Arabidopsis thaliana: one gene and its partner. The protein of the gene in region 1 purifies or fractionates together with the protein of each later gene. This does not show direct contact. Each region holds a gene or a part of one and is shown in the gene's direction. Other genes may lie near its edges.

Region 1 (10,443 bases):
GAACGAACGGCGTTTTCTCCATCTTCTGTAACTGAGAGACCTTGGGATGCGAAGAAAAAAACGATCGGAGAAGAGAATGAGCAACGGATTTCTTCAAGCTACTCTGCGTTTGCCGCTATCATCTGTTTTCGAATTCCCTCCCTCTCTACGCCACAAAATATATGGGCCTTGCTTTGGTGTCCCTTTTAGCCCATTTTAATTCACATCAACCCAATTAGCAACCCCACAATTAATTTCGGTTTTCTTTTTTTTTTATAGATTTATTTAATTCTATTATATTTCTTCTCAAACCATTTTAGTTCTACTATCCTTATTCTTGATTATTATAAAACCAACAACCAAACACACTTTTAACATTATATATACTTATCAAAACTAATATTTTCGATTCTCAAATATTTTTAGTTTATATTTATATGCATTGAAAATTTCAATTCGAAAGATATTACTTTCTAATCTACTAAAAATTAAAGTAATTATTTATATGACAGAATCTTTATAAAAATCTAACAAAAAAAATGAGTTTTGACATCCCAAAATAAATGATAACATATTATATTTTCTTATTAATCATTTTATTATAATTGGGATCCAACAAACATCAACATTTTATTCTTTGAATTACAATGTTTATTATAATTATCTTCAGAAAATGGTAAGAAACTTATAATATATATATATATATATATAAGTATATTTATTAAACTAAGTTGTTTATACATATATATACCTTATAAGATACTCAAAACCTATAAAAAAATTTACCCACAAAAAAAAAACATAAAAAGGATAATCAAACTACACCTGATTACGGGAAGGTTTTTGGTTTCATAGTTCTTTTTATGTACATAAAAAAAATGAGACCCAAATCCAGTGAGATATGAAAAGTACAAATATCTTAAATGAGAAAAAGTCATTATTTCATTGTTAATTATAATTTTAAAAAGATAAAATATAATATGTTTTGAAGATATATCATCAAAATACAATGACTTTTTTCCTACAAGTATATACAAGGAAACAAAAGAGCTAACGTGTGGAAAAAAAAAAACAATTAAAAAGAGAGTTGAATTTTTAATATATTCACACAACTTGTAATAGATTAGCATGTTTGTCTACTTCGAATACTCTTCTTCAAGTCAAACCATATGATTCTCACACGCAGCCTCGCTCCATACCTCACGTTATAACTTTAAAATTTCGTATTTTCTTGACTATGCTCCATTTACATTAAGTCCTGTCATATTATTGGGAGAAATTGTATCATCATATATCTAGAATTCTCATATACACTGTCGACATGTTATGTATTACGGTATAAAGAATATTGCAATCCTATATTATTATTTTTTGAATTTCCAAAGTTTAATTTAAAATTAAGAAAATGATAACAAATCCGAGTAAAGTCAACAATTTCCTTCGAAAATTTATGAGTATTCTGCTGCCTATTTTCTCACACCCACCAATCATATTGTATGTCCCTTGAATCCAAGTAATAGCTATGAAGAATAAACAAAAGTAGAAAAAATAATAAAAAACAATTTAATTACACAACATGAGATCCATTCAATCTATTAGTAACTTGTTATTAGATTATAGTAACCACTTTCTGTCTCTTGTTCTACCAAAACAAAACGCTTCATCATGAGCTCTAACAACAAAACTGATGATTCCGACGACCGTTCTTTCTGGCAAAACTCGACTTCTTACGATGCCAGCAGCAAGATTTTCCTCGTCACCACCGTTTCCTTCTCTATTATTATCATCATCGTGTTCGTTTATTATCTCTACGCAAAATTCGTTCTCCACCGTAGATCAGCCTTCCAAGACCTCTCCTTCTCTGTCGTTTCTCAGCCGCCAAAACGTGGCCTCGATTCTCTAGTCATCGCTTCTCTCCCAACGTTCGTGGTTGGAATCAAGAATGACGTGGCGGGTACGGAATGTGCGGTTTGTCTAAGCTTATTGGAGGAGAAAGATAATGCAAGGATGTTACCGAACTGCAAACACGTGTTCCACGTGTCTTGCGTTGACACGTGGCTCACCACGCAGTCCACTTGTCCCGTTTGTCGAACTGAAGCCGAGCCAAGTCATCCAAGGCTTGAGCCTGAGCCTAGGGAAGGGCCAGTTGGCGACTTTGCACCGCCGTTAGATTTCGCGGGGGTTGATAACAAAACCGGCGGATCATCGGTTTCGAGGTTAGACTCGTTCCGGAGGATTTTGACAAGGGAAAGATCTTCGAACAGGCGGGATCATTCTCGCGTTGACCAAGATCGTGAATTGGATATTGAAAGACAGTGAATTCAGTATATAGTATATACACACATACGCCGGTTAAAAAAAAAAAAGTATAAACACACATGCATCCATAATTAATCCTTAATTCATGAACCATAATACTTCTTCTTCCTTTTAACTTTTTATTCTTGTACTGAAATCTTTTGTATGTGTAAATATGAATGGCACACTTTTTGTATGTTACAGTAATTACAAAAACATTGTTGCTTATTGCTTAACGTGTGAAAAGGGGAAAAGAAAAAAAGAAAGTTGAACTTGTAACATACAATCGAGACAATTTTGTTATTAAGGTATATCTAATGCGTGTGTGCCCTACATAGACGACTCTTCTTCAAGTCAAACTTTGTGGTTCCCACACGTATCCTCACAGGCTCACACGTTTTAACCTTTAATTTTCGTATTTTCTTGACTATATATATTATCATTTTTTGTTGACAAAATAAATTGTATTATCATATTTTAAAATTTTGATAGCAGTATCATATGTAACTCTAACATTCTATGTTTAGAGATGAATTTATCTATATATATCTACTTGGATAAACCAATTTGCACCATACTATTTGCAGCATATGAGACTAACTAACTCTTGATACACTGAAATGATGGTAGACAATTCAGTCTATATATGCGAGTTAACTCCTAATACCGTGAAATCATAATAGGCAAATTCAGTCCACAAATTTTTTACGTAGGATTTTGATATTTTCCACTCTTTATATATACAGTCTATAATCTTCAAACCTATCACCTATAAATAATCTACAATCTACCATTTAGTCAACAATGGTGAAATTTCTAAACCCTCGTGAAAGTCTACCTATCTCCCAAAGTTTCTAATTCTATCTACTTCACATTTTTCTCCACCCACCAACTAAAGTATAAGCCTTGGAAAAACAATCAAAATAAGAAATTCTATAAGTCCTTTATTCCTTATATAATAAATCATAAGTTAGTAAACTCTTTTGTTCACTTTTCTTTTGCATCCACCGAAGAAAAACCAGCTTCACAATGAGCTCCAACGACAGAGATCATCGCAGGTTCAACTCTGACCACCACTCATTCTGGCCTAATCCGTCTACTTACGATCTTAACAGCAAGATCATGCTTGCCGCAGTGGCTTCTTTATCTGGAGTTATCCTCATCGTCTTCGCTCTTCATCTTTACGCAAGATTCGTTCTCCGACGCCGTAGAGAAGCTTTCCGTGGCCTCCCCGTCATTTTCCGCCACCCTTTTGAGATGCCTAAGCGTGGCCTCAATCCCACAGTCATCGCTTCTCTCCCTACTTTCACTGTTGGAGCCACTGATGGCGTGGCTGCCTCCGCTACTGAATGCGCAGTGTGTCTAAGCGTGTTAAAGGAGCAAGACAAGGCGAGAGAGTTGCCCAACTGCAAGCACATCTTCCACGTCGACTGTGTTGACACGTGGCTCACCACTTGCTCCACTTGTCCTGTTTGTCGGACTGAAGTTGAGCCAAGACCGAGACTTGAGCCTGAGCCAAGGGAAGGACCAGTCGGTACTGCACCGCAGTTGTTGGTGGAAACCAGGCTGAACTTGACTGTAGAAGCCGCATCCTCTTCTTCCTCAGATAACAAAACAGTTGTATCCCCGGCTTCGCGATTAAATTCGTTTAGGAAAATCTTGACGAGGGAAAGATCTTCGAACAGGATCAACCATTCTTGTCCTGACCAAGATCGTGTGGCAGATCTTGAGAGACATTGAGTCGACATATAGATACATATTATGCATATAAATCATATACACATATCGATAATCTTTAATTTATACAATATCCTCCTTTCTTTTTTACTATATCATGCTCTGTTTTTGGTTTTAGATAGTTTTGTGTAACGGAACACTAAATATATGTTAGTCAAAAGATACATCTGGTGCAGTTCATGCCATTCAAGTTAACTATTCACAGTGGTAGACAGTACATATCAGGGCTCCATAAAAGATGCAGAACCATTTTAGTTACATAAAACTGAGGGAGAAGAGAGATCATAAAAGGGTTACCTTCAATCACCAATCGGAAGCTAAACCTGTTGGATAATCAGTGTCATTGTCACAATGTGGCCTAAAATGACGAAGGGTGACAACCAGCTGCTAAACATCCGCCTTGCTCGGCTCAATCTGAGAATTCTGGTGCAGTTGCTCCCTGCATTGAAGTGGCATCTGCGATACTTCCATTGCTCACTCCCTTACTGCACACCAGATTTCAACAGCATGAGTGTAACTATTACTATACTCAATGAAACGAAGCCTCATGGAGAATGAGAACATTTTCAAAAAAATTGCTTTAATAGTTTTTGAAACTTCTTCTATGTTCTGCAGTAACTGCATCATATTGATAATATGAACAATATAATCACCAAGATCAAAATCAATTGTCGAGGAGAAGTGAAGTAACTTCATCCTTCTAAGCCAGAAGCTAATGAAAAAAACAAAAAAAAGATTTCATTTCACTCAAAAGTTCAAAACCCATCAAACTAGAAATCATTTTCTAAAAGAACCTATGATGGATCAAAATTGCTCCAAACAGACTATAAATGAGACACACACACAAACGCTAATTGGCAATACAAATGTGGATTACTTAATTACCTTGAAGGAAACTTGCATGTTCCTTGACCTGAAAACGAAAAATTGCAGAAAAAGCATCAAACTTTCAACATTTTCAATTAGCAAAAGTCATAACTATCTGCTAGACATTGATCCTGAAAGAAAATGTGAACTTACTAGGATTGAGAGAAGTAACAGCTGCGTTGTTACTAAAGTTGCAAGCTTCATCTGCGAGACCATTCCATCAGATAATAGTTATTGAATACATACGAAGCCATCTTCACTATATCCAATGGATCGTAGCAGGATCCACCTTGCTGAATCTAGACGCAATCAGCTCCTCTGGGACCACAAGCCCAGTCAATGGCCGTTTAAAGTGTTGAATCCTCAACGTTGTTCTTCGCCACGCACCAAAGCTCCGTCTCTAATACCTCCCCACCAAACTCCGCAGTAGCAGCAACCGTAATGAGGAGAAATAGAGAGATTCATTAGGAAGCAGTGAGGCTGAGAGAGAGAATACACGATCATTTTCCGAGAGATTGATCGATTTTGTACTCGGAGATTTCGAAGAGGAGGAAGAGTGTGAATTTGAAAGAGTCGAATAGATGTTGGAGTTTGTTGTGATTAATGTAAAGATTTGGGTGAATAATGTAAAATATTTTAATTCTTACCGGTTATTGAACTCGGTTATACTGATTTGGGCCGTATTAAACTCCGGCCCATATACATATGGGCCTCTAATGAAGTGTTTTTAGCTGCTCTGTTTTTGATGACGGAGCATATTAATTATGGTTAATTAGTAAACAAAAAGACTCTTTAGCTCCTTAACCTTTTCAATTTCTGAAAGAGGAGGAGATCGGAAAACAAAACCCAGTCATGGATCCTCCGGCGAATCCTTTTGCATCTCGAGAGCAAGATACAGTAACTATTTTAAGAAACCTGATTAAGCAAGCTACTTTGGAGGAAGAAGTCTCTGAAGCTTCAGAGACACATTCTGTTCCGAACAAAATCAGAATTTTAGAGTCAGTGTCGGACGAAATGAGGAAATCGCAGGAGAACGGTAGTGATCAGAAACAGTTGAGTGAGGAAGACGAGATTGATATTCTGGATTCAAAAGCCATGAGCTTTTCTTTTAGTTGTCACGGTGGTGGGCCAAAGCGGAAGAAATGTAACGATAAGAAACGTAAGCAGCAAGAAGAGAAGTCTAAGAAGAAGCTCAAGGTACTTGTTGAAACATTAAAGCTTGTACCTTTCAAGCCATTAAAAACCCTAGATTTTGCTTGTTATGAGAGTCTCTTAAAGACTCTCGGATTGTGGGATTTTGTGCATTTGGAATTTGATCAGGATATGGATTATGATCTTGTGGCTCAACTTATAGCTTCCTATAGTGCTGGAGGTAAGTGCAGCTATATAAACGGGTCTAGGATTAAACTTAGTCGTGCGGATTTGGCTCGATCTTTGAAGTTGCCTAATAAGAAAGAACGTGTTGTCATTCTTGATGAGGATAAGGAATTTCTGGAATCAGATGAATCAATCAGTGTTGTTGAAGATGTTATCTCTAATTGGATGCTACTGCATTGTGATGATGCGTGGATGATGCCAGATGAAGTGGTGGAATGGATGAAAGGTATAAAGAAAAAGCAATTGGATAAGCTGGACTGGGCTGGACTGATGTGGTTTATGGTTGAGAAAGAGTTGAAAGCGGAGCCTCCACTCGGGGATTGTTTCTATGCGTCGCATTTGCAGATGGTCATTAGATCACAGAAAATAGATCTGTTTAAGGAGAGGGATTTGAAGGTAAAGGATGATATTGCTGCTTTGAATCTAGGAATGGATGATGGAGCCACTGACTCAAAGAAAGAAAACTGTGTGGAGGAAAGTACGACCAAACTGAATCTTGGGCAAGTGATTGTGTCCGAAATGGCTGCTACGATGGAGCTTTATCATGAGGAACAAGCAATTGATCTTGAGGAAAACAAGGAACAACCAATGGATCTTAAGGAAGCCAAGGAAGAAGGAGATGAAATGGAATGGAGACAGCCATGTTGGCTCACATTTTTTTCAGGGGTGTGATGTTGGTTGTGCTACTGTAGGAGATGAAAAGAACGGAACAAGACATAGGAAAGTGGGAGAGAATGAGATACTTGAAGATGAAATTGAGAAAGATGGAGAAAAGCAAGAAGGAGGGTTTTTATTGTTTCGGAACGGTAAAACACTACACCAGGAAAATCTGATGTTGGGAGATACATCTACATTAGGTTATAATTCTGGGCTACAGGTTCATGGCAGTTCTACTTGTGATTTCCTGGCACCTAGAGCTGTCATGCATATGGTTCCAGGTCGTTCTCATTTTGGGAATGATAACAAGAGAGAGTTTGGTCACGAGAATGATATTTCATACCATTTTGATAACCCTGCTAGTACTAAGAGGTTGAAGACACCATCTTGGGATGACAAGCCAGTTCCTTTTGACATTTGCATGGAGCAGATTAAGCACTTGGCAGATAAGGCTAAGTTATCATATGTCGAGAAAGACCAAGCTTGTGGAGAATCGAACATGAGGGAACAAATGTTGCAAAATGAACTGCAAAGGAGGGAAGACATAATTCAGCAATTGCACAAAGAAAGTTATGAAGAGCTACACAAGAAGAACGTAGAGATCTATAAGCTTGAAAATGAACTTCGTATGATGACAAGTGTATTAGCCTGGTACCAGAAAGCTTTAAAAGAATCACAGAAGGCATGTAGAAAGCACAGGAAAGTTTGCCCTTTGCTTGATAAACCGATATACATAGATGTTAAAGGTACTGGAGGTTTAGTATTGAGCACTGCTGAAATCGAGAAGCTAAGATTGAAAGAAGAAAAAGAAGAGGGGATGAGACGAGTTCTAATAGAGAGACAAGTAAAAGAAGTTGGAAGTCTCTGGATTAAAGAGTATGAAGTGAACCTTAAGAAAAAAGTAGAGTTGCTTGACGGGAAGCTGATTGGGTTTCAAAATAAGATGAAGCTCTTGAAAGAAACAATTTCAAGACGCGAATCTATATCTGCAAGATTTGATGCAACATCAAACACTTGAGAAGGTACTTTTCTCTTTTAGACTCAAAACTTTCTTAACTTATTGTTGTCCTCACACAATTATGTAAATAACCTATGGACGATTGAACTGGAAGAAGAGAGCATGAGTCTTGTTTAATAAGTCCCTATTGAGATTCTAGTCATCAAATACTTACTGGCTTCTTCTTTTGTAGGCATTTGCAGAACCGGCATGAGTCCAAGAAGAAGATTCAAGAACTCAAAATAAAGTAACGTCGGATCTTTAGTAGCTCTGTAGTTTTTTGGTAGATATTTTTGAAATCTATTTTGGGTTTGTAGACAATTAGCCAGCGAATGTAGCCAATAGCGATCAAAGCGTCTTATGAACACTACTCTCATCAACTACATTTCAGTCATCTCTCTGGTTTGGTCAAAATTCGATTAGTAATTACAGACTAGAACACTAATGGCTTTAGTGTGAATTTCCATTAACTTTGGAAGGCTTCTTTGTTGCTACTTTTCTTCTTTCACCAAATTCAACTGTGGCCGCCTTGTATCATCATTTGGTACCAAATTTAATTTAAAAATGAAATAAATAATTAAAATATCATTATTACCATTGGTCCAATTCTATACCATACCATTTGCTGAAAGAAACTCAAAACCCCAAATCTTGAAAATAAATATTAATTCTTTTTTAGGAGAAATAAACAAAAAACCAATCATGTAACGAAGAACGTAGTGGTCCAGTCAAGGAACACATCACGTGAATAAGCTTAAGCCTTTCAAGATGTGTCCACACGCGTTTCTCTTTTCTCTTCTTTCATTTTCACTGCATAAGCTTTTTCTTATCGACCACAATATACTTAAACGGCTATTATTCATGGTAACTCCTAAACATAAACGATCACAAAAGTTACCAAATATCAGTGATTATTAAAAATCCCAGAGTTTTGGTCTGCTATTACTTATTTCTTTATTTTTAGACCACAGTACATTTTTGTATACTTTCTTCATTTGTCTTTTTCTTACGTGAGTGGATGTACCATATGATTTTACCATCTAGATTCTGTATGACGTCAACATATTGTTGTTTTATTACCTAAAATAGTTCAATGTCGTTAAATGACATTTTCCTATGTTGATACTACTATTTTTAAAAACCGTTGAGACAGAAAAAGGGTGTAAACAGGCGTTTAATAGCTATAGATTACTTTTAGCCGTTCAAAACAATTATTTTTGTTGATACTCTAGATCACTTTAGAATAGAAATAATCAGAGATAGAGACTATTTTTTTAGTGAATTAACCATAGTTCTTGTTTAATCTGTCTTATTAAAATCAATATAATGTTATGCGAGAAGAAATATGATTTAGAGTAGACAATGATGGAAAATAAACTACTGTATTCCGAATAAATCTTAATTAGTTCACAAATCTCTGTACACTTCCCAAAAAAAAAAAAAAAAAATTCAACTAGTTCTTTGTACAAACAACAATTGATGATTCCCTTCCATCAACCCCAAGAAAAAAAGACGACATAAACAAAATAAATAAGATACATCAAACTGAATTCATCACAACTTAAAAACAATGTGATTAGAATAAAAAATGTATATCTCCTGAATTTCTTACCCGAAAGAGATTTTATAGTCAAGAACTTTTGCCAAGAAGCTAAAAGAGAGAAATGTTGATGATGATGCATGATGGTTAATTTATGAGACATTGAGGAGCTGCTCTGTTTCAACGGACGACTTGATGTCGACGGCCGGAGTAGCACCGGCTCCGGTCGCCGATAAATGATTTGCATTTTCCACATTCGTGAGGCTTTGTTGATTATACACTTGTCGAAGTCTCTCTATTTCTCTCTTCAATGCTTCTTGATGTGCTGCAAAATAATATTAGTTTTTTGATGTTATATTAGCTAGTGAGAGAAAATTATTGGGCGTGCTCATATATTGTCAGTGATAATTGAATGCATCGACGAGAAAATGAAAAATCTCATAAACACACATATATTAATTCCATAATTATCCAAAAAATTTACATGAGAATTAAATCCAAAAGTTACATGAGATTAATACCGTCTTTGAAAAGCTTGTCTTGAGATAAAGCAGCGATTCGTTGCTTGAGAGCGCTGTTGTCAACGTTAAGAAGCAAACGTTGATGATCCAAGAATGCAACTCTTGGCGATAACACTGACACTTCCGCCTTTAATTTCAGTTTTTTTGCCACAAAAATGATTTAAGGTCATAATAAATTTATAATCATGAAATTATTTGAATAATTAAAAGATTATGATTTATGAATGTTTGTATAATGTACCTGCAACGAAGTGACGCTACGTTCGAGCTCTGATATGTATTGCAGTTTCCTCACCCTTGATCTCTGTGCTGATTGCCGATTTGCTAATATTCTGTAGAAACATTCAGAAATATTTATTTTATTTTTGTTAACAATTTAAAAAACATTATATGGTTAGTGATGTGACGCTAATCTTCAGTAATCATATTTTTCAAAATATTTGGTGCATCGTAATCAAATCTGATGAGTT
Region 2 (9,880 bases), on another chromosome or scaffold:
AGTCTCTCTACATTATCTGGGCATATTTTGTTCAGCTGTGCGAGTCCTCCTTACATTATTAGAATCATCAAAACTTCATTTGGATATTTTATTGCTTTGCATTCATTCTTTCCCTCACATACTTGTCTCTGTAAAGGTCTACCCCGGACAGCGTGCTGGTGGAGTTGAGGCTGACATGATGGCAGCAAACGAGCTTAATGCACACTCTTTTCTCCAGGTTGGATAAATAGCCATGCAAAAATGCTAAATAGATTCTTAGCAATTACATCTCCTTGGTGGCTAATAGTGAAATCAACTTGTTATTCTGCTTGTCTATACAGAGCAAAAGCCTGCCTGCTAATCTGCTTCTACTTGTTGGTGGCTTTGAGACACAACTTGGGGAACAGGTCAGGCTTACAATATGTGGCACTGTAGTTTGTTGAATCTAAGCTGCACTAGTTTGTGGATATTTTGGCATACCTTATGGAACATAGGCTGAGTCAATTCATTCTTACAGTGGCTGGCTTTTCGTGATGGTGGGAAAGATAGTGCAGCTGACTACGCGCAAACTGCGAGTGAAAAAACAACCAGAGCTCGCTCCCAAGGAGTATGGAATCCTTATGAAAAAGAGCAGATGATAAAACGAAGGAGAAACTTTGTTATTAAGATCCTTCAGGGTGCAATGAAGGGTCTAGCCTTTATGCATGATAATGACAGGTTACATCAAAGCCTCGGGCCATCCTCAATTGTTCTCAAGTATGTTCCCCCATGAGCACGTGAAAGTGATAGCATACACACCTCACTCTTAATATAAATGCCTCATGACTCTACTAATTCAGTCGATTTTTCTCTCTGGTGAAATTATCCTTAGTACACCAGCGGAACGAGAAGCCATCTATTTAATACCGAGGCTGCGAGATCTAGCCTTTTCTGTTGACATAAGGTTCCCTTACTCTTCTCATCTCTTCCTGATTGATTATTTTATCCTCAGCTATAGTAGTTTTTTTTTTTAATTCGCCATTTTGGTCTTGCTGTTTATAACTGGAACTAGCATTGTGAAGATAATGTTGGTGCTTTTTATCAACTCTCTGTTAATAGACTGAGCATACCTTACAGGCCTTCATGCTTGGAAGAAGGAGCCACTTCTGGTTCACTGTCAGAGCAACTTTGGCGAAGGGCAAATGCTGCTGGTGCTTACACAGTTTTTGAGAAAAGAGCTTTTGGGATTGCAGATGACATGTAGTGCTTTTTCCTTCTTAGTCTTTCATCTTTTAAGTTGCAAATGTTCTTTGATAAAGGTTTAACACATTCTTGCGGTTTACAGATATGAAGCCGGTCTTCTTTTTGCATACTTAGCATTTGTTCCATTCTGTGAAGCAGGCGTAACGGATTCTCTTTCTCTTCAGGCAAGAAAGAACACAAGATCTCCTTTTAATCCAACAAATGTAGCAGCTCTGTTCTTTAAACAGTTTTTTGTTTAACCGCAATTTAATCTGCTGAACTGCAGAGGCTACTGGAAAACACTTTCCGGCTGGATATCGAGGCTGTAAGAGAGTAAGCCTCTTGCTACCTCCAGATTAACTAACATTCTCTATTGTCATAACTTTCTTGTGTTAAAACTTAAAACGCATATAAATTGCATTTCATTTTAGCAGCACAAAAAGAACCGTTGTATTCAATTAACCGATTAATACTCCAAGTTACTGTGTGTTTGAAAGACCTCACTAATTTTTTATACAGGTACTGTTTAGCTGATGAACGCCTCGAAGAAGCGGTAAAGTTTCTGGATCTTGGTGATAGAGCTGGTTGGGAATTGCTCCAGGTATCTAGTCATTCCAATTTTCTCTGCATCGTGGTTCACAGTAAAAAAAAAAGTTAAATAACTGAACTCTGATCAAAGTTAAATGGAAACGGTAATGAAAAGAAAATATCGAGAAGCATGGAGGAGAAATGCTGAGAACGCTTATGATAGAGTCAACTGATTTCATGTTTGGAAAGTTTTGGTAATTTGACCAATAATGTCTCTGCGTGTGGTGTTTTGGTAGGCAATGTTGAACGCTGACTATAGGAAGCGGCCAATGGCGGAAGCTGTTCTTAGTCATCGATTTTTGAATGGCGTAGTTTAAATGAGAAGAGACGAAGATTATGTATTTACGTAATTATCTACAACTATTAATCCTTGATCCATGTTCTGAACATATAATCATATATCGTGGGTTCCCAAAATATGATATTGAATCTGCTCATCCTGCACTAGCTATACTAAGATTGTTTTGTTGTCACTAAACTAAACAATAGAATGTCGTCAAAAGTAAAAGAATGATGAAGATGCGCACGTGCTTGTTAGTCGCAAGGCACGTGAGATGATCCGAAGAAGAATCAAAGATGCTTCGCTTGAAGCCATAACGATGTGTGGGGAAGACGGCAAAGCAATCAAGCAAATACTTTTCCTTCCTCTTCTTCTCCAAAAGTCGTTTGTTTTCACATTTCTTTCGATTCCCACTTGACTCTCCGAGAAACCTTTGCAGATCAACAAACCCATCTTCTGATTCTGGAAACCCTAACCCACCCGGTTCCGATTCAGACAAACGGGTCGGAGACCGATTTTGATCTCGAACTCGATTCTTTCTCAGATGAAAGTATCAAAAATTGAGAATTTGAGGTTGTTTGAGTCTTAATCATCTCGATCAATGTCGCGTTTTCCCCGTGGATTTGTGGAGAATTCATCAATGGAGGAACCCAAAATCGCTCGTCGTCCAACTATTTGCTTCAGACCAATAAACCCTTCTGATTTAGAACGTTTGGAGCAAATCCATCGTGACATATTCCCAATCAGGTAAATAAATACCTTTGTTTTGGAAAGAATTTATATGTGATCTGGTTTTGGGATTTGACTTTCCGTTTTTTGGAAGTGTCTTATCAAAGCATTTGATTTTGTTCAGGTATGAGTCTGAGTTTTTTCAGAATGTTGTCAACGGAGGTGATATTGTCTCTTGGGCTGCTGTTGATCGGAGTCGCCCTGATGGTCATTCTGAGGAACTTATTGGATTTGTTACTGCCAAAATCGTACTTGCCAAAGAAAGCGAAGTGAGTTGCTTTGTGTTTTGTTCAAGTGTCTTCCTTTTTCATCGTCTTGTTCAAGTGTAGATTTCAAATGTCCGAAATGGGTTTCTTTCCACTGGAGAAAATAAAGCTTCAATTTGTAACGTTTCAAGTTATTTTTGAAGCTTGTTTTGAATGGTTTTTGGGTTTTGTAAAGAAGATGCAATGTCTTGTAAAGTGAAAATTTTGAATGTTTGAAACATTTTCTTAAAAATTTCTTAAAAATATAAACTTTCTACAATTTCAACAGCTTTTTCTAAGCTTTTAAGTTTTGGTTGGAGCTTCTTCAGTAGTAAAACATTGTCTTCTCTTTGTTCTTCGCCTTTTGGGTTTTGGTTCTGAAATTTCGAAATAACTTTATACAGCAAGTAACAAGTAATTGTGAAGTGTAGATTTTGAATGTTGTTGAACCATTTCACAATGTCTAATGGTTTAAGCGTGAATTTTAAAGCCATGTACATTAGATGGGTTTCTTACGAAAGTTCTAGAAAATCAAAAAGAGCCAGCCACTTTATTAACATCTTGATTATGATCCAAACTTGTTTTGTACTTGTTCGTTTAATGTTAAGAGTCATCAATGGCTGTTTCTTGGGTAATATGTTGATAGATTTTCTATGTCTTGTACAGATATCAGATCTAATAAGATATGACTCGTCGAAGGGAGAGGGGACATTGGTGTACATCCTAACACTTGGAGTTGTAGAAACATACAGAAAACGTGGAATCGGTATTGATTCTGACCCCATGTAGTAAACCAATGATATGGATATTTTGTTGATGGCTTGATGCTTCTCTTCTATTGCTTGGTTTTGTTAATATTAAGTTCTGCAACTTTTTTGTGCAGCTAAGGCACTTATTAACGAGGTCGTCAAATACTCTTCTGGTATCCCTGTGTGCCGTGGTGTTTACCTTCACGTGATTGCACACAACAATCCCGCAATCCGGTTGTACAAAAGAATGTCTTTCAGATGTGTAAGGAGGTTACACGGATTCTACTTAATCAACGGCCAGCATTTCGATTCTTACTTGTTCGTCTACTTTATCAACGGTTCTCGCTCTCCTTGCTCACCCTTGTATGTACAAAACACAAGTATTTTTTGCATTCTAAATTCTGTTTGCTGTGATGTTTCTTTGCGGTTTCTTCATAGATGGGGTTATCGCTGAATCATGGCTGCATTGCAGAGATCTTGCGGTGTTGGTTCTGAATTATATGAGGAGCGGAATCAAATCTTTCGCATCAAAGCTGACGGTGAACCACGATGAGAAAGGCTCGAAATGGCTTAAAAGCAAAGACAACACGCGGTGTCTCTTGCCCACTCAGACTAAACGAAACCTTGCATCGGAAAGAGTATCATCCGGGTATGATTACGTATAGTGTCCGTCTCCCATTCATAGACTTTGTAAAATCATTCATTTTAATGTCTTCCATTAAGCTCTGGTTGTGATCCTATTGTGTGTGTTCGTGTAGAATAATAATGTGATAAAAATGTAAATATTGTGATGTGATAGTTGAAGACAACTCTTTGGGACGGAGGGTTCAATCCACTGTTAGTCTTATTGTCTTAAATTAGTTAGCTTGTTGAAAAAATTAGCTTTGTGCTTTATGGCGTGAAAACTAGCATAAGCTCATATAATTTACTTAAAATTACAAAAACAAACCCCAATACTTTTTTCGAGAAACCAGATCCTTCTTCAATTCTGATCATGAACAGCTTTTGGCTCTAATTGGGGCTAATTCACATGACATGGAATTAACTAGAGATGTTTAAACAGATTTAAAAAAAAAAAAACAAACCAGACCAATTTTCTGGGTTAGTAACAAATTTCAGTTCACCACTGTGAATGCTTAAATTGTAATTTAAAAAACAATAGGGATTAGGTATATAATAAATGAAAGTTAACGAGCAAACTGTGAAGAACGAGGGAAAGGGGAAGAAGGAACGGAAACATAGAATTAGGGTTCACAGTGCATCAGAGAATCATAATTTCTCTGTTTCGGATTTTTAATCGTACAAGAGGTGAATTGATATTGGGTTCGGTTCGGTTCAAGTAAGTTAAATATTCTCTTTTTCGCCGATTATTTATTGGGTCAATCTCACTATAATTTCGGTTCACTGAAAATTTGAGAAACAGAAGTTGTCCTATAACGATTTTGACGATGAGAAGAATAAATCGAATTCTATGAAACTTTTGCTTAATTACTAGTTCGAATGTTATGAATTCCCGTGAATGAGTATTCAAAAAGGACCTTAGTGTGTTCTCATTGTTTTGAGCAGTTTTTAGCTTACATAGATTTATTTGTTTGGTTTAAGATAATGCTTTGTCAGAATTATGCGAAGCCTAGCCTAGCTTATTATGAATTGTGTTTGTTCTGCAGATTTGAATAATATTAGACTCTAGTAGTTAAGATGTCAGTGAGAGCTAGGAGGATTGTTTCGGGTAGATCAGAGACTGTAGCAGCTAATTATGCTTTCGATCCGTTACATGATGACAAAATTATAAGAAATAGGCTTCTCACACGCACGACCACCACCAGAGGCGAACCTCCATTGAAGAAGCTTCAGAAGAAATTCACTTCTTTTGTTATTGAACTAGACAAAGAAGAAGATAACTACAGTGAGTGTGGTAGGCTCGCGAAAGCTTTCTTGCAAGAACTCTCTGCGTTTGAGATTCCGCTTCTTAAGAGCCAAGTAGTTGTCGCTGCAAATCTTAGGGAGAAAGAGAACTTTAACGAGCTTAAAGATGAGACGAATAGGCAGATAATGCAGGCACAAGCTGATATAGAAGATCTTAAGAAACAGCTTGAGGAGAGTAAGATAGAGAGACAACAGAAAGAGGAGTGTGAAGCCATTAGGAAACTTATCTCTGCGCAGCCACCGAGGTCAGAGACGCAGAAGGTTATACATGAATTGAAGAAGGAGATTGCAGAACTCGAGGCTGAGAATACAGCAAGTTGGAGACTTCTTGAACTAAGGAAGAAGCAGTTTGCATTGTTGTTGCATGTGGTATGTCGATTTTACGGGTTTCGTTGTGTTTTTATAGCTAAGATTCTAAACAAGATTTCGCCTTTCTCGTGTTTCTTTATGTTTACAGCTAAATCCTAACCTTTTTGGTTTTGTGAAAACTTTTATGTATAGGTGGATGAGTTGCAGGAGACAATGGAGGATGAACAGAAGAGTATGGTGGAAGAAATGCAGAGGAACATTACCGCTGATGGCGCTGAAGCCATGTCCATCGATTAGCTCCTAATCTTAGCAACTTTGTCTTCCTCTTGAATGCTAAAGAAACAAACCTTTCATTGATAAGAAGAATCTGTTTTATAAATTTCTGGTTTCTTCTGGTTGCCTCATAACCAAAATTGCTATGAAAATAAGGATATGTATGTTTCATTTTAACTCGCAGATTCAAAAAAAATAATGGCAGATCTTCTCGAGGTTTTGAGGACTATGTGAACCGGAAAGGTCAGGAGAAAGTGATTTATTTGACTAAACCAAGTTTGGTAATGATTCATCAGGAAAATAACCGGTCCAGAAAATTCAACCGACTAAGATTTATTCCCGTACCAAAGAATTTGCTTTTAAACCGGACTAATATATATACAGTACACGTATATCTTCTCTATTTTGCAAAATCGTTCTCCTCTCTTCGCCACCAGAGAGTCTCTCCGTCTCTTTCCACGGCGAGTTTGCGATCGTCCGCGGTTTGCTGTTTGTCGTCATCTCTCTCGTTTGAAGCATTCTTTTCTAAATTCTTCGCAGTTGCTAGGTCTTTATCTTCTAAACCTTACTATTCGTCGGTGTGCTTTCGCAATTTATCTCTAAACCCTCGGAAATTTCTCCTGCAATTCTGAGCTCTTTGTTCGTCGATCCGAATATTCAGTACTTTCCATTGAAGGTTTGATCTAGAGGTAATTCGAATCGGAATTTGATCAACCTTTGTTTTCTTTGATATTTCGTTTCAGATGTTTGCTTCTTCTTTTTTCCGATGAATTTCGAATCGCTTGACCTTGTTCCGTTTTCCGTTTATCCTCCAAAGTCTGAATATGTTTATAGCTAGCTAGATTCAGGATTTGATTTTACCTTATTTCCCCAATAATAATGAAATCCTTCTTAGGTTAGGGTTTTTGTGTTTTTGTGTTTTGTCACTAGTTTTGAAACCGAAAATTGTCATCAAGTGTGCAAGTACTTTGTCAGAGTAATGCCAATATAATAGTTTTGTTATTCTCATCTTGCTCGGCTGTAGTTTTGCTACCATTGTAATTGTTGTTACTGAGTAACTCCTTTTTCTGTGGTTAGGTCTTGACTAAAGTTCTTGAAAATGGAAGTGGAGAAGTCTAAATCAAGGCATGAAATCAGGGAAGAGAGGGCTGACTACGAGGGTTCGCCTGTTAGAGAACACAGAGATGGAAGGAGGAAAGAGAAGGATCATAGGAGCAAGGATAAAGAAAAGGACTATGATCGAGAAAAGATCAGGGATAAGGACCACCGCAGGGATAAGGAGAAAGAGAGAGACCGAAAAAGAAGTAGAGATGAGGACACTGAGAAGGAGATCTCTAGAGGTAGAGATAAAGAGAGGGAGAAAGATAAGAGTAGAGATCGGGTTAAAGAAAAGGACAAGGAAAAGGAAAGAAATAGACATAAAGATAGAGAAAATGAGAGGGATAACGAGAAGGAAAAAGACAAGGATAGGGCAAGAGTCAAGGAGAGAGCGAGTAAGAAAAGTCATGAAGATGATGACGAGACTCATAAAGCTGCAGAAAGATATGAACATTCTGACAACAGAGGTCTGAATGAAGGTGGCGATAATGTTGATGCTGCATCAAGTGGGAAAGAAGCATCTGCGTTGGACCTTCAGAATCGCATTTTGAAGTAAGTGATTCTCATATGTTATATGAAATCTAGAATTATAGGTAGTACAGGAATTAAAAGTTTGTGTTTTCTTCCTTAGGATGAGAGAGGAAAGAAAGAAGAAAGCTGAAGATGCTTCTGATGCTCTATCATGGGTTGCAAGGAGCCGTAAGATTGAGGAAAAACGAAATGCTGAGAAGCAAAGAGCACAGCAGCTCTCGAGAATTTTTGAGGAGCAGGTATTACCTCCATTCCTTGAACATCTTATATCCTTTTATTTCTTCATAACTTCCTTTTATCTGACATTTTAATAAATATATCTTATCTCATATTTGTTCAGGACAATCTTAATCAAGGTGAAAATGAAGATGGCGAGGATGGCGGTATGTTTTCGTTTCTAGTTCTTTTACCCCTAACTTTAACTCTTCAAAGGAAGTAATCATGTATTCTGTCATACCATAGAATTTCTTTTTCTATCTTCCTTTCTAAATGTGATGCTCTCTGATTGATAATTTATCTTGACATATTCTGGTTAACAGAGCATCTATCTGGTGTTAAAGTTCTACATGGTTTGGAGAAAGTGGTGGAAGGTGGAGCAGTTATCTTGACACTAAAAGACCAAAGTGTCCTTACCGATGGAGACGTTAACAATGGTTAGTATCTTTTTGTGCTATCTTTTATTTATGCTATCAGCATTGTTGATGTTAGGCTCTGTCATAATGAGATTTTCAACTATTCTTGCAGAGATTGACATGCTAGAAAATGTGGAAATTGGAGAACAGAAGCGCCGGAATGAAGCTTATGAAGCAGCCAAGAAGAAAAAGGGAATATACGATGATAAGTAAGTTTAAGTATTGTTCAAAGGCATTTAGATGAGCATATCTGTGTTGCTTAAGACTGAAACATGGCATTATATTTATTTTATAGGTTTAATGATGATCCCGGGGCAGAAAAGAAGATGCTTCCTCAGTACGATGAGGCTGCTACTGATGAGGTAAGTTACTCTGTCTAGCGGATTTTTCAAATACCATAATTATAGGCACTTCTTTGGAGGGAATTAATGTTATTGCTTTTGCTTTAGGGGATCTTTTTGGATGCAAAGGGTCGCTTCACCGGTGAAGCTGAGAAGAAGCTAGAGGAGGTACTATTCTTCCTAACATTCTGTCATATTAAATGGATCGTAGTAAGTATACACACTAACGGAATTATTTTCTTTCATGTTCTACCGATCAGCTGCGTAAGAGAATTCAGGGTCAGACGACACATACTTTTGAAGACCTTAACTCCTCAGCAAAGGTCTCTTCAGATTACTTCTCACAGGAAGAAATGCTAAAATTCAAAAAACCCAAGAAAAAGAAACAATTGCGTAAAAAGGATAAATTGGACTTAAGTATGCTTGAAGCAGAAGCTGTTGCATCGGGATTGGGAGCTGAAGATCTTGGTTCTCGTAAAGATGGCAGAAGGCAGGCCATGAAAGAAGAGAAAGAAAGGATCGAGTATGAAAAACGGAGCAATGCCTATCAGGAAGCCATTGCTAAAGCTGATGAGGCATCCAGGCTACTTAGAAGGGAACAAGTTCAGCCTTTTAAAAGAGATGAAGATGAGAGTATGGTGTTGGCTGATGATGCTGAAGATCTTTACAAATCGTTAGAGAAAGCTAGGAGGCTAGCTCTCATTAAGAAAGAGGAAGCTGGATCTGGTCCACAGGCAGTTGCGCATCTTGTGGCTTCCAGCACCAATCAAACAACAGATGATAATACCACCACCGGGGATGAGACACAAGAAAATACAGTGGTTTTTACAGAGATGGGAGACTTTGTCTGGGGTCTCCAGCGCGAGAACGGTAAAGTTTAAATCATCTTCTGACACAGTTACACTGTTATTTATGTTTTGCTCTATTATATTGATCTGCTATAGCACTTCCTACGTTATTTGGAACATTTATTTGGTGT

Evidence for each region.
Region 2: the proteins of AT2G42370 (region 1) and THO7 fractionate together in Arabidopsis thaliana (co-fractionation; one large-scale study listed by BioGRID). This does not show direct contact.

Annotation. Positions count from the first base shown.
Region 1 is NC_003071.7:17,637,601-17,648,043, forward strand, and holds AT2G42370 (uncharacterized protein), read left to right. Parts: upstream 1-5,733; coding exon 5,734-6,901; exon of another isoform or gene 6,902-6,953; coding exon 6,954-7,933; downstream 7,934-10,443. Other genes in the region: AT2G42340 (uncharacterized protein), read right to left, coding at 1-22; AT2G42350 (RING/U-box superfamily protein), read left to right, coding at 1,645-2,298; AT2G42360 (RING/U-box superfamily protein), read left to right, coding at 3,307-4,017; BZIP34 (Basic-leucine zipper (bZIP) transcription factor family protein), read right to left, coding at 9,605-9,777, 9,974-10,100, 10,215-10,305.
Region 2 is NC_003076.8:5,519,085-5,528,964, reverse strand, and holds THO7 (Tho complex subunit 7/Mft1p), read left to right. Parts: upstream 1-4,953; 5' UTR 4,954-5,130; exon of another isoform or gene 5,131-5,458; 5' UTR 5,459-5,489; coding exon 5,490-6,086; intron 6,087-6,218; coding exon 6,219-6,323; 3' UTR 6,324-6,548; downstream 6,549-9,880. Other genes in the region: AT5G16810 (Protein kinase superfamily protein), read left to right, coding at 137-217, 321-386, 497-735, 851-922, 1,096-1,218, 1,304-1,385, 1,487-1,533, 1,720-1,801 and 1 more; AT5G16800 (Acyl-CoA N-acyltransferases (NAT) superfamily protein), read left to right, coding at 2,670-2,815, 2,922-3,066, 3,709-3,808, 3,926-4,129, 4,230-4,456; DOT2 (SART-1 family), read left to right, coding at 7,399-7,949, 8,029-8,167, 8,269-8,311, 8,468-8,581, 8,673-8,769, 8,856-8,922, 9,010-9,069, 9,162-9,771.